Linked DNA regions of Caenorhabditis elegans. The protein of the gene in region 2 interacts with the protein of the main gene of each other region in a pairwise test. Each region holds a gene or a part of one and is shown on either strand. Other genes may lie near its edges. The genes, in order: uso-1, C09G1.4 and sorb-1.

Region 1 (3,754 bases), on a different chromosome or scaffold from region 2:
TTATTCAGTGCCTTTGGCCTGAAAATGTATCTCAATCGGAGAAAATACGGATAAATTAAAAAGAAAATTAATTTGCGGTTGTTGTGACACCGATAAGTTGACGAAATTGGAGATTTTAGCTGAAATTAGTGAATTTTTTAAAGCATCTTGATTTTTTTCTCGTTAATTTCGGAATAAAAACCTTCGAACTCCAATATCGAATTGTTCAACGGCGCATAAAACTGAAGAAATGAAGCCTTTTCGTTTAATCATCACTTCGGCTAATCGTTCTCCTAATTCATCGGATTCTGAAGAATCGTCGTCTGTTGACAAAACGATTGCCATCGTGTCGAGCACAATTGTCATGGCTTCGGTGTTCATGCGATCTGTTTCAAGCACGTCAATGAATGCATTCATTCCCATTGTTCCGACGGCTAATCGATATTTCTGAAATTACACGTTTAATTTTAATTGTTTAATTTTAATAGTTCAAATGATTTTTTCTCTCACCTTTGCGACACCTTTCAGCCCTCTCAACGCATCTCGACGGTCTTCTGGTGCCGTACAAGTTTCTGCTCGTTCCACAAGTGTTTCTACATATTCAGCTCCATTATCCTCGTCTTCATCTTGCTGTCCGCCGCCAAAAAAGTTCCGAAACAGCGACATCTGCAAAGCTACACGTGGCAGTGAGCGGAAAATGGGATTGTCGTGTTGTTGAGCGAATATAAATGATAATTAAATGCATTTTTTAATTTAATTTATTTATTTCTAAATATTTTTCTTTATTTTCTGAATTTTAACATAAAATAAATGAAAAAAAACGGGAAAAAAAGAAGAGAAAAGTGGAAAAACCTGTCGTGGAATTGGAGGATGCGTTCTCAATGGAGCGCGCTTGCTGACTCTTTTCGGACTTCGTTTTTTCGCTTGCAGACGTTGACGGAAATTGCTCTGAAAAAAAGATCTGCTCAAAAAGTGAATAAAACAAATATTTCAATTGTTTTAATAACAAAATTTGCATATTCAACTGAATAATAATTATACTGAATTCAAGAATTTCAAAAAAATTGGAGAAAGTTTGGGAAACAGATGGAAATTTTCAATAAAATCGTCGAGAAAACATTTTCTGTCAAAATCCGGATTAAATCCAGAAAGAAGAGTACCAGCTGCCCACGAAAATTTCGGGTTTTCCCCCAAAAGAACAGTCTTGAGTCCTGACACGATCGAAACTTTTCAGCTAAATACCGTACACGTGGCTCAAGCCAGTGGTCACGGTGTTTTATTTTATACTCATACCCAACATTTTGCGATTTTTGCGCCAAAAATACGGTTCCTGGTCTCGACACGACTTTTTTTTTGTTATATTCAAACCAGGGCGCGCCTTTAAAGAGTACTGTAATTTCGAACTTTCGTTGTTGCAGGGTTTTCATCGTTTTTTCATAGTTCTTCGTTAAAAAAGGCTGTTTTTATTTTGTAAAAAACTGAAGTAAAACAATTAAAACACATAAATTTTAAGAAAAACAATGAAAAGTCGAATAAAATGCCGCAGCGACAAAAGTTTAGAATTACAGTACTCTTTAAAGGAGAGCACCCGTTTCCATGCAACGAAAAATTGTCGTTTTGAGACCAAGAACTACCGTATTTTTCGCGCAAAACACATAAAAATTGCAAAATTTCCCGTCTGGCTAATATCTTTAATAAATATAAAGCATAGATTTTTTATAAATTGACAGGCTATTTTCAAATATTAAATTAAAAAAAAACAAAAATCAGCGCTAATATGCTCAATTCAAAATTTTTTAAATTGAAAAACATTGGTTAAAAGTAGAAATAACAATAAATCAATATATTTTGCAACAACTTTACCTGAGGCAAATTGAAAAACGCATTGGAAATTGTCGTGTCACTGGAAAACGATCTAACTGAAAGAGTTGATCCGGTAATTGAAGACGTTGAATAAGCGAACATTTCGATTGAATAAAACTATCGGCTCAGAGAGTGTTAGAGTGCGTAAAAGTGTAATGTAGGAAGAGGGCACATTGAGTGAGTTGATCGGGAGAGAAAAGTGAAGAGAAAACGGATAGAATAACAGAATACTGTTACTTCAAAATGTTTTGATTACGGGTAATGTATACATTTCGATATATATTAGCTTTCAGGCAAATCAACAAATTACTGGAATTGAAATTTCTGGCAAACTTTATTTTATTTTATTTCAATGTGTTTCAATGTTCAAAAAAAGAAAAATTTCCGAATATACTTCAAATATAATTCAAATAAATGCCCAAGTTAGAGTACTCAGATAAATCGAACCACGCAGGCACCGCTCCAAACCACGCAGGTGACTGCCCACCACGCAGTCAACGCGTCAAGACCACGCAGGCAACCAAAAGCACGCAGGTGACGCCTAGGAACCACGCAGGCGACTTGACGGTGGGCAGCTATTGGCAGTGGCTGCAAAACCACGCAGGTGACGCCTACATACCATGCAGGCAGCCAACGTTCAGCCACGCGCGGGATTCCTAGGCCAATGGCTGCGTACTCCTCTTGGACAACTTTTTCTTCTATTTTTTTTTCCTAATTTAATGGAATTTTCCGTTTTTTTTCTTGCAAAAAGCACTTTTATATTAATTTTCAATTTCTTCATGAAACTCAATAATTGTTTTCAGGTAAATATGTCAACCCCGGCCCGAAAAACCCCAAAAGGAGGCCGAAAGCGGCGTGGCAATGGACTGGAGGCGCCGCATTCGATTGGTCGCTTCAACGTAAGATAAACTTTATTTTTAAAAAATATATAGCAACAAAATTTCAGAAAAAACCTTCGGAATCGTTCGTTCGAACTATGGACTGGGATTTCAAAGAGCTTAGGAAAATCGCGGAAAATTCCAAGTCAAAGGTGAACAGAAGTTTGGCAGCTGCACAAATTCTCCAAATCCAGATGTAGTTAAAATAGTTCACTTTTCAGACAATTCCTCCAGAGCTCCTCCACACCTTCAGTGTCCACCCAAATTCGGTGAATCATCAGATTCTTCAAGGAAGACTTCTCAATTGTCCTATCAGTAAGCTATTCTTGTCCAATTTTTTTTTAAACAAAAATTTTCAGGCGTTCTTCACAATATTCTACATGTTGTAGCCGGATTCGAAGGACAGTTCCCGAGTGCGGATTTTGGCGATGTTTTCTCCCGACAGGTGGATCAAAAATGGTAAACACCCTTCTATCAATTTGTATTTCCAAAAATCAATAATATTGCAGCTTGAACGCACGGAAAAAGATGAGCCAGGAAAAGGACACACCATCACACTGATCACTGGGACGAAAACAACTGCCTAATGGACTTAATTTTGTTTCCCACCTTTTTTTGTTGTTATTTTTGAGATTTTCGTACTTTGCGTTTTAGATGGTTAAACGGTAGGAAGGGGAAGGAGCGGGCTGCGAACTGCCATTGCTGCAAGACCACGCAGGTGTCGCCTCCAAACCACGCAGGCAACGCGTTGAAACCACGCAGGGACTGGCATTCTTGAGCGTGGTTTGTACGCGTTGCCTGCGTGGTTTGGAGCGGTGCCTGCGTGGTTCGGTTTATCTGAGTAGTAAATTTTAAGGTCTTTCAGCATATACCAATAATATTCCAGTAGGTACAAGAAGCTTCACGTAGTTACAGAAATAGTACATTTTCAGCCCTACCTTTTAGTGCGTATTTTATTATTTAATGAAAACTACCATTTATAGGCAAAAATAGATGAATTTTCCAAACTTTGAAAATTCATAAATCTTTTGAAA
Region 2 (3,754 bases):
AAGTGTAAAAGTTCTGAATGTGTAGTACTGGGCTCTTCGGGAGCAAAAATGAAAAAGGCACACACACATACACAGACATAGTCTCGCTTGAAAAGGTCCACGAACACAGAGACTTGGCATTTGAGATGGGTTACAAAAAAAAACGCTGACCGCGCGCCGCGTCACTTGCTCACTTTCCGTTTTTCTTATTTTGAAAAGCTTGTCGTTTTGGTGTGTATGGCATGTTACACTGAAACTGAGAAAACTTGACGCTTTGTGGTGAGCGACAAAAAAGGGAGAATTACTTTGCAATTGAAAGCCAGAGATCAAATATCTGTTAGATTCGCTTCAAAATTTTGGAATACAAACGCACAATTTAGCAGTTAAATTCAATTGCTCCAAAAAAAATTTTTTCTACACTAACGTTTTCAACACTAACTAAGAATTACTCAAGACTTACCTAACGTTTTACCTAATTTGAAAACATTTATTTCACAGAGACGATTGAAAAGTTTTAAATAGCGGAAATGCGCTCCTAAAATTTTAATAGAGTTTGTTTTGTTTCAATGACTTTCAGATCTAAATTTTCCGAAATTAGTTCTTGCAGACTATTAATGGCCACTGGAGTTTTGGGGAATAGGCAAAAACGGGTATTATTTAAACATGGAGTAGACACTCATTATGATCTAAAAAGACCAAATATCTTAATAATACAATTCAAAAAATTTCAGGCTTTTCATAATTTCCGGTTAAACTTTGGCAAATTTTCAGAATTTTGAAAAATAAGAGCTTTTGAAGAAATCCAAAGCAATTTCACATGTTCCGGGCCCTACAATGTTTTAATCCAAATAATTACTGTATAAAAAATGTAGAAACATTTTTTTGGTCGACTTCCAAAATTATGATTGGCAAAAACTGAGTAATTGTCACTTTTTGACAATAAATAAGTTTCATTATGATATGTGGTCATTTTGGGACCAAAGGAGTGGTTTTTAACAACTTTCCCACTGGCGCTACTCCACTTTTAAAGAAAAATAGCGAAAAAATTTTGCAATTTTTTAAAACATTCCGTTAAAAAATACCAAACATTTTACCGAAAAAAATATAATGTTCATAATTTTTTAATATGTTACTTTGAAAATTCTGCAAAGACCGATTTCGGAGCATATTCACAATTCTAAACAAAAATAAAAAAAAAAAAACTCCAGAAGTAGTTACGTGTTTAAAATATCTTTCATATTATGAATATCTGTATCCATAAACTGTGGCTGAACTGAACTCATAGAAACATGTAAAAAACATAATTGTGCAAAAATGGCTACACCACTGCATTCGAAAAAGTACGTTTTTGAAAAATTCATAATTTGCCTCTTTTAGCTCGGAAATAATTCATGATGAACGAATACTAAATGACTAGAGCAAAAAACAGGAAAAAAATTGTTCAAACGGTTAAAAGAAATTATGTATTACATAGTAAATGTTCCAAAAAAAACGTGAATAAATATTTGTAACCTGTTTTTTAAGCAACAAGCGCCAAAAACATTTTCCAGTCGATGCACCATGTTCGAAATCTAGTATTCCACATTTATTTTAGGCATATGGTAGGTAATAACTTTGCTCTTACAAAAAATATTAGAAACAAATCACAGAAAAAAAACATTTTTTGCGAAAAAGACACGTATTCAAAAAAAGGTACGTCTATTGAAAATTCATAATTTTTCCCTTTTCTATTTGTAGATGACGAGCGAATACTGAATGACTGGTGCAAAAAAGAAGAAATTAATTTTGAATTTGGAAAAAAAAGTGAGAAATAATTATGACGTACCTCCTTGTTGATAAAACTGGCCACGCCCCAAATTTCGAGGTTTTGGTGGGGGCATTGGAGCCTGCCGATTTCCAGAAGACATTGTGATTTGTGTCTCTGAAAATTGTAAGTTTATAAGAGAACAATTTGAAAAAAAAGATAACATATCAGAGGTAAAGAAACAAATGATAACATCAAAGACCTGATGGGATATAATCGGCCTAGTTAAGGTATGTTCTCAATTTTTGGGGGCTGCGGAAAAGTAGGGGAAAAAAAGAAGGCGAAAAAAAAGCGAGATGGACGTAAAGATGTGAAAAGTGACACTGTTAATTGGATATATATGTAAAGTGGACACAATCGTGACTGGCACTGGTGCACGTACTGACGTCTTGGAAGTTTTAGGTGTGTTTTGATCAAGAGTAATTAAATATATAAGGGGGCAAATAGCTCAGTCGGTAGTGGTGGCCGCTAGCAATCTGGAGGTCACGAGTTCAAGTCCGGCCTCACTTCCTAGGTTCACCCAGCCCCTATTGGGAAGTGGAGCAATCCAAGACTGGATTATCGGCCACAGTCCCCGGCTCGGACGTGGCTTAAATTACAACCCAGTGGGATCACCACCAGGCAGTGTACCTGAGTCCCAGATCCGCAGTGCATAGCACTTGGAGAACGGATCGTCCTTTGACCCTTTAATCTTTAAATAGTGAAAAATAGCTACCCTCGTATTGTTAGAAATATCGGATTTTACTATGATGAGTAAGGAAACTGATTGAAAGAGCATCGGAAAAAAAGATTAAGAGCACGCTTTCAAAAATACAGCTTTCTTCCAAAATAACCAAACAATGCACCTAAAACTTTCTATTAAAAAAAAACAAAAAACAACTTGTGTCCCCATTGACAATTCAATGTTTGAACACCAACTTCGGCATTCGAACTTGAAGCAAAAAAAAAACAGTTTTTCTTCACTACTATCTCTAGAATGCACACCATTCGTGGGCACACCGACCTAATAGAACTGTCCCCAGGGACGGATTGATCACGAAAAGGAAAAGGTCATACAACACACAATGCAGTCGTTCAGAACAATGTGATAACAAGAAAAAAAATAGAAGAGTGGGTGTACAGAAGAAAAGCAAGGAATGTTCTGGAAAAGTGAAAAAAAACGAACTTGAATACAGTGTAAACATTACATAGAACTAGGATTTTTTGGCGAAAACATAGAAATGGCGAGATTGTTCAGAAGAGACCCCAAAAGCTTTTGATGATAACTATTAGGACCTCCATGGAAGCGGCCGACACTTTTCGGGTTCCGCGCAGCACTAAGCAGGAGGCGCGGCTCGCGGCACGAGGCAGACGTCGCCTGCATGAAAGCCCTAATATTTATGTTTAATAAAACCACTGGTATTGCAAACTTTTTCGTGATTGTCATTGGGTTTTAATTTTAAATTGAGGGTAATGACTATAAAGAGGACTATGAAAAATTTAACTTCAAAATTCTAAACTTCAAAAACTACCGCAATACCAAAAATGTGACTCACTTATGATCAGTATCTGAACCGCCAAACCCATTTGCATTATTGCTTGGTAATCTAACACCCGAATGGCGGTAGACACACACACACGTCAAAAGTTAGGGTTCCATCCCGTCCCCCTCTCGTTAAACACATGTTTAATCTCGCCAGATGGTTGTGATGCCTTAGTGAATGATGTACTTACTCTTAAGCGACGAACTTCTCTTTTTGTGCGAGCCGAAGCAGCAGGATGTACGTGATGTATCAGGAAACACATAAATCTATCGCGAAAAAATGGGGAGAAAAAGAAAGAAGAAGAATACTGAAAATAGCGAACAAAACTAAAGATTGATAATTTATGCAACGGGTAATAGATAATGGGTAAAAAAATACTTTTCAATTTGTCGGAAAACTTGTAATAAATGCGTTCCGATTAACAGAACTAATAGTAAGATGTTAAATT
Region 3 (3,754 bases), on a different chromosome or scaffold from region 2:
AATTTCAAGTAACTGATTTTGGCATTCCGTTTGCAAGAAATTGGAGGTATCAACACCGAATTGAATAAAACTTTATAATTTTATTGATTTTCCTGGTTAGAATCAGTTCTGCGCGGAAAATCTTTTCAGCAAATGTACAAACCTACGTATTTTAGTTTGGTGATTATATTTTTTTTGTATCAAAAATCATTACAGAAATGTAGGACAAGGTTTGTTCTATGAGTTCTATCTGATAATGATATTTATTTTTTCTGCAAAGTTCGAAAATTATCTCAAATAGTGCCTGAGTTAGGGTTTGCCGTGAAACTTTTTCAGCAAATGACAACTTTCAGACACTATTTGACCCAATTTTCATAGAAAATTGAAAAAAAAAAAATAGAAACCACAATTTTTTCTGTTTCAGGAATTTTATGTCATGACAATAGAACAAGCGAAAAATGTTTATTGGTTTCAATCTTCAGTGTGTCGCAACAAGTCTAAGTAAGAGAATAAGCACTAAATTTTTTAGAACAACATGAAATGTCTTGGCGATTTTTCAGGTCATTTGCATTTGCAAGTTTTAAAAAGTACTCAAAACATTTTTCCTATAAGTTTTCCTATCACAAAAAAATAGTAATGTAGTTTTCATAGACAACACGAAAAAGTATTTTCATTGTTTTAAATTTTTGCAAATCTTCAAACTGTACACAAAATTTTAACGTTTTTTAAAACAATTTTGCGTAAATTTTTATCTACATAAGGATTTTTCATAAACTTCCCGGAATGTACAATTTTCAAAATAGAACTGAAAAGTTGTGTTTTCGGAAAATTAAAAAGAAAGTTCTACTGTTTCGTGAAAGCCATTTAGGACATTTACAATTTTCCGGTTTGATCTGATCGGTTTGTTCTTTTTTAACTTAAAAACTGTTAAATTTTTGAAATTTCGTATATAGAAGCTATTATTACTTGTGAATTGTATTTCTGAAAAGTAGAAAACTTCAAAACTCAAAATAATTTTGCTCATATTTTACAATTTTTAGTGAAGCTTTAGTCGATAATAATTTCTAGAAAAAAACTCACGTGTTTCACTCATAGCTTGTAAAAAAAGCCAAAAAGAAAATAATATCAGTAAAAAATGGTCAGTAATAACTAAATTTAACTATTTCAGCACATTGTTTTCAGTTTGAAAAGTTCGTTGCTTTATTGTATCGCTGTTTTTTTCAAAATAAAACTCACTCCTTGAAAATATTTATTTGGATTGACAGGACCATCAAGTACTCTTCCCATATTATGCTTGTTAAGATGTGGATCCACATATCCATTTGGTTCGTATACTTTTACATTTTTGGCCCAGGAAGGAGTTGAGTCTGGAATTTATTATTTTATTGAACATCAAAACATTTGGATTTTTTGAATATTGCTGGTTAGGAGAGACATCAGGAGTTGTTTTCCGCAAAATCAGAAAAAATTATACAAAAAAAACAGTTTTAGATAGTTTATAAGACTACTTCAAAACTTTATTGTTACTGTTTGCAGCATTCGGACAGAAACCAAAATATCTTACTATTAATAGAAAAAATGACAAAAATCTAATTGCAAAATTGCTGCTTCATCTTCCAGGTCCGTCGAGGTACCAGGTCTCAGCCAATCGTGTATTTGTTGACTATCTTGTTGACTAACATTTTTTACAGTTTCAAGGAATTCATATGAGCTATGTGTTACTTTCCGAAAACTATTATTTCGTAGCTTAATACATAGAACGCCTAGAAAAACAAAACTCACCAACAGGCGGAGGCGCTGGTTTCTGATATCTGGAACTATTTCCAGTTGGTGTCTTCATATCCAACTGCCCATGTATCACATTTCTCAACGCCGCCACATTTCCCTTCGGTGAGAATTTATCAGAATCTTCAAAGGTGTCAAAGTTGTAGGCATCTGCTGCAGGATTTAGATATTGACCAGATGGCTGTTGTGGTTCTGATGAGTTCTGGAAATTAATTAGGGATTGTGGAGTAGATTAATTGAAAGCTCTTACCGCCAGGTTTGACCCGAATGGATGAGGATGATGCATCATTCCTGGAATATGGGAGTTTGAAGAATTGTATAACAAAATAAAGGAAAGAATAAATGAAAAATGTGAAATACGGAAGACTAATATGTTCTGTCAGAAATGGGATTTTTTTTTGAAATTTGTACTGTAACAGTTTTTATAGTTCTCGAACTTTACCCAATCTGACAATAATTGCAGATTCATGGGATGTACACTATTCAAGAATATTTTCCATTTTCCAGAAAACTTCAGACATCTTGAAAATTTGTTTTAATTTTCAAAATATTTTCTCACTAGATTTTTAAATTCTATAAAGATTTTGAACCCAATTTCCAACTAAATTTGACATTTAGGAGCGCCAGTAGAATGCATTTTTGGAATTATAAGGATGGTACTTAAATGACCATATTGTCAATTTTTGTTTTGACTGTTTCATTTAAGTGTTAAAGCTCCCACAATGGATTCACGTTCAATTGACGCAATCCTTAAAATCATAATTTTTGTTGAAATGTTAATGCTTGTGTTAAAGTTATTGTTTTTAAAGTTTTGAACACCTTTTGAGACTTGAATGAGAATGTATCTAGTTTTTAAAAATAGCTTCCAAGACCGGGTAAAATGTGCACGGCAATCACAATTTTGCCATTGCTGGAATTGAAAAATGCTAATTTTTGTTTTCTTAAAATAGAAAAGACACTTGTAATTTTTTAATTTTAAAAATGAAAATAACATTCTGGAACAAGTGTTTAAATTTTATACTGTTTCTTTGAAATGGTAAAGCTTTTACAACATTTTCAAATCTATTCCACCTTTGTCCATGAGTATGTAAGACGTACAACTTTTGAAAAATGTTGTCTGGTCACTTGAGCAGTTTTTTCAAGAATAGTAAAACTTTTAGGTTAAAAATTTTTTATAACAGGGAAAAGGCCACATTTCATCTATCAGAATTTGGGGTTCGACCCAAAAAATTATTTCTACGATTTTTTACACTTTCATTAAGTTTAAATAATTAGAACTCAATGATTGTAGGAGTTGCAAAATCAGTTATGTATTTCACTGAAAACTAAAATTATTGAAAATTAAAATAATAAAAATTACCGTTTCACAGTTGTAATAGTTAACAAGCCCGAAACAGTACTAGGTTTTACGAAAAGTTGTTATTTTGAAATACGACAAAAAAACCAAAATAAGAAAAATTTTATCAGTAAATCGAGTGATATTATTGTTGCGAGAGCCACACTTAGAGAAACTAAGAATGTCCCTCATTGCGTCTTCTGTCCCCGGGACACGAAACAGAATCACATTCTCTCAGTGTCTGCGTCTCTCTATCTTTTTGCTCACTATATACATGACTTTACACACTTTTCGTCTTTCTTCTTTCAATTTTTGTTAAGCAATTGCCGGATGGACCTGCTGAAGAGAAAGAGAATGAGAGGAGAGAAGATGGAACTGCTCTCAAGTGACCAGACAAACTTTTTCATCACTATGATCATGATCATCACACCTTTGATTTAGTACTCTTTTGGCCAGAAGTAACCGTTGTATTTAAAAAAAGGTGGAGCGCAAGCTTATTAGTTTCAAAGGAAGAACAGAAACTTTAACACTTCATAGAAACAGTTAAAATTTGCAAAAAATTTGTTCAAAAAAATTATAGTTTTTTGCCGTTCGCATCACAATTTGCCATCGAAGAATAAACCTAGGAGACTAATTGTGCTTAAAAATAGTTTT

What was found.
Region 1: the proteins of C09G1.4 (region 2) and uso-1 interact in a two-hybrid assay, tested with the Caenorhabditis elegans proteins (3 studies listed by BioGRID).
Region 3: the proteins of C09G1.4 (region 2) and sorb-1 interact in binary tests that used the Caenorhabditis elegans proteins (3 or more experiments, as listed by UniProt).

Annotation. Positions count from the first base shown.
Region 1 is NC_003282.8:13,452,855-13,456,608, forward strand, and holds the start of uso-1 (Uso1_p115_head domain-containing protein), read right to left. Parts: upstream 1,945-3,754; coding exon 1,843-1,944; intron 928-1,842; coding exon 832-927; intron 646-831; coding exon 490-645; intron 427-489; coding exon 182-426; intron 1-181. Other genes in the region: Y38H8A.7 (uncharacterized protein), read left to right, coding at 2,652-2,741, 2,789-2,872, 2,942-3,035, 3,080-3,179, 3,230-3,281.
Region 2 is NC_003284.9:15,995,036-15,998,789, forward strand, and holds the start of C09G1.4 (uncharacterized protein), read right to left. Parts: upstream 1,903-3,754; 5' UTR 1,887-1,902; coding exon 1,805-1,886; intron 1-1,804.
Region 3 is NC_003282.8:13,748,635-13,752,388, reverse strand, and holds the start of sorb-1 (SH3 domain-containing protein), read right to left. Parts: upstream 2,057-3,754; 5' UTR 2,054-2,056; coding exon 2,015-2,053; intron 1,967-2,014; coding exon 1,762-1,966; intron 1,737-1,761; exon of another isoform or gene 1,716-1,736; intron 1,531-1,715; exon of another isoform or gene 1,507-1,530; intron 1,347-1,506; coding exon 1,216-1,346; intron 1,205-1,215; exon of another isoform or gene 1,184-1,204; intron 1,130-1,183; exon of another isoform or gene 1,106-1,129; intron 893-1,105; exon of another isoform or gene 872-892; intron 634-871; exon of another isoform or gene 613-633; intron 600-612; exon of another isoform or gene 579-599; intron 463-578; exon of another isoform or gene 442-462; intron 1-441. UniProt on the Caenorhabditis elegans protein: Required for organization of sarcomeres in body wall muscles and for maintaining normal mitochondrial position in myocytes.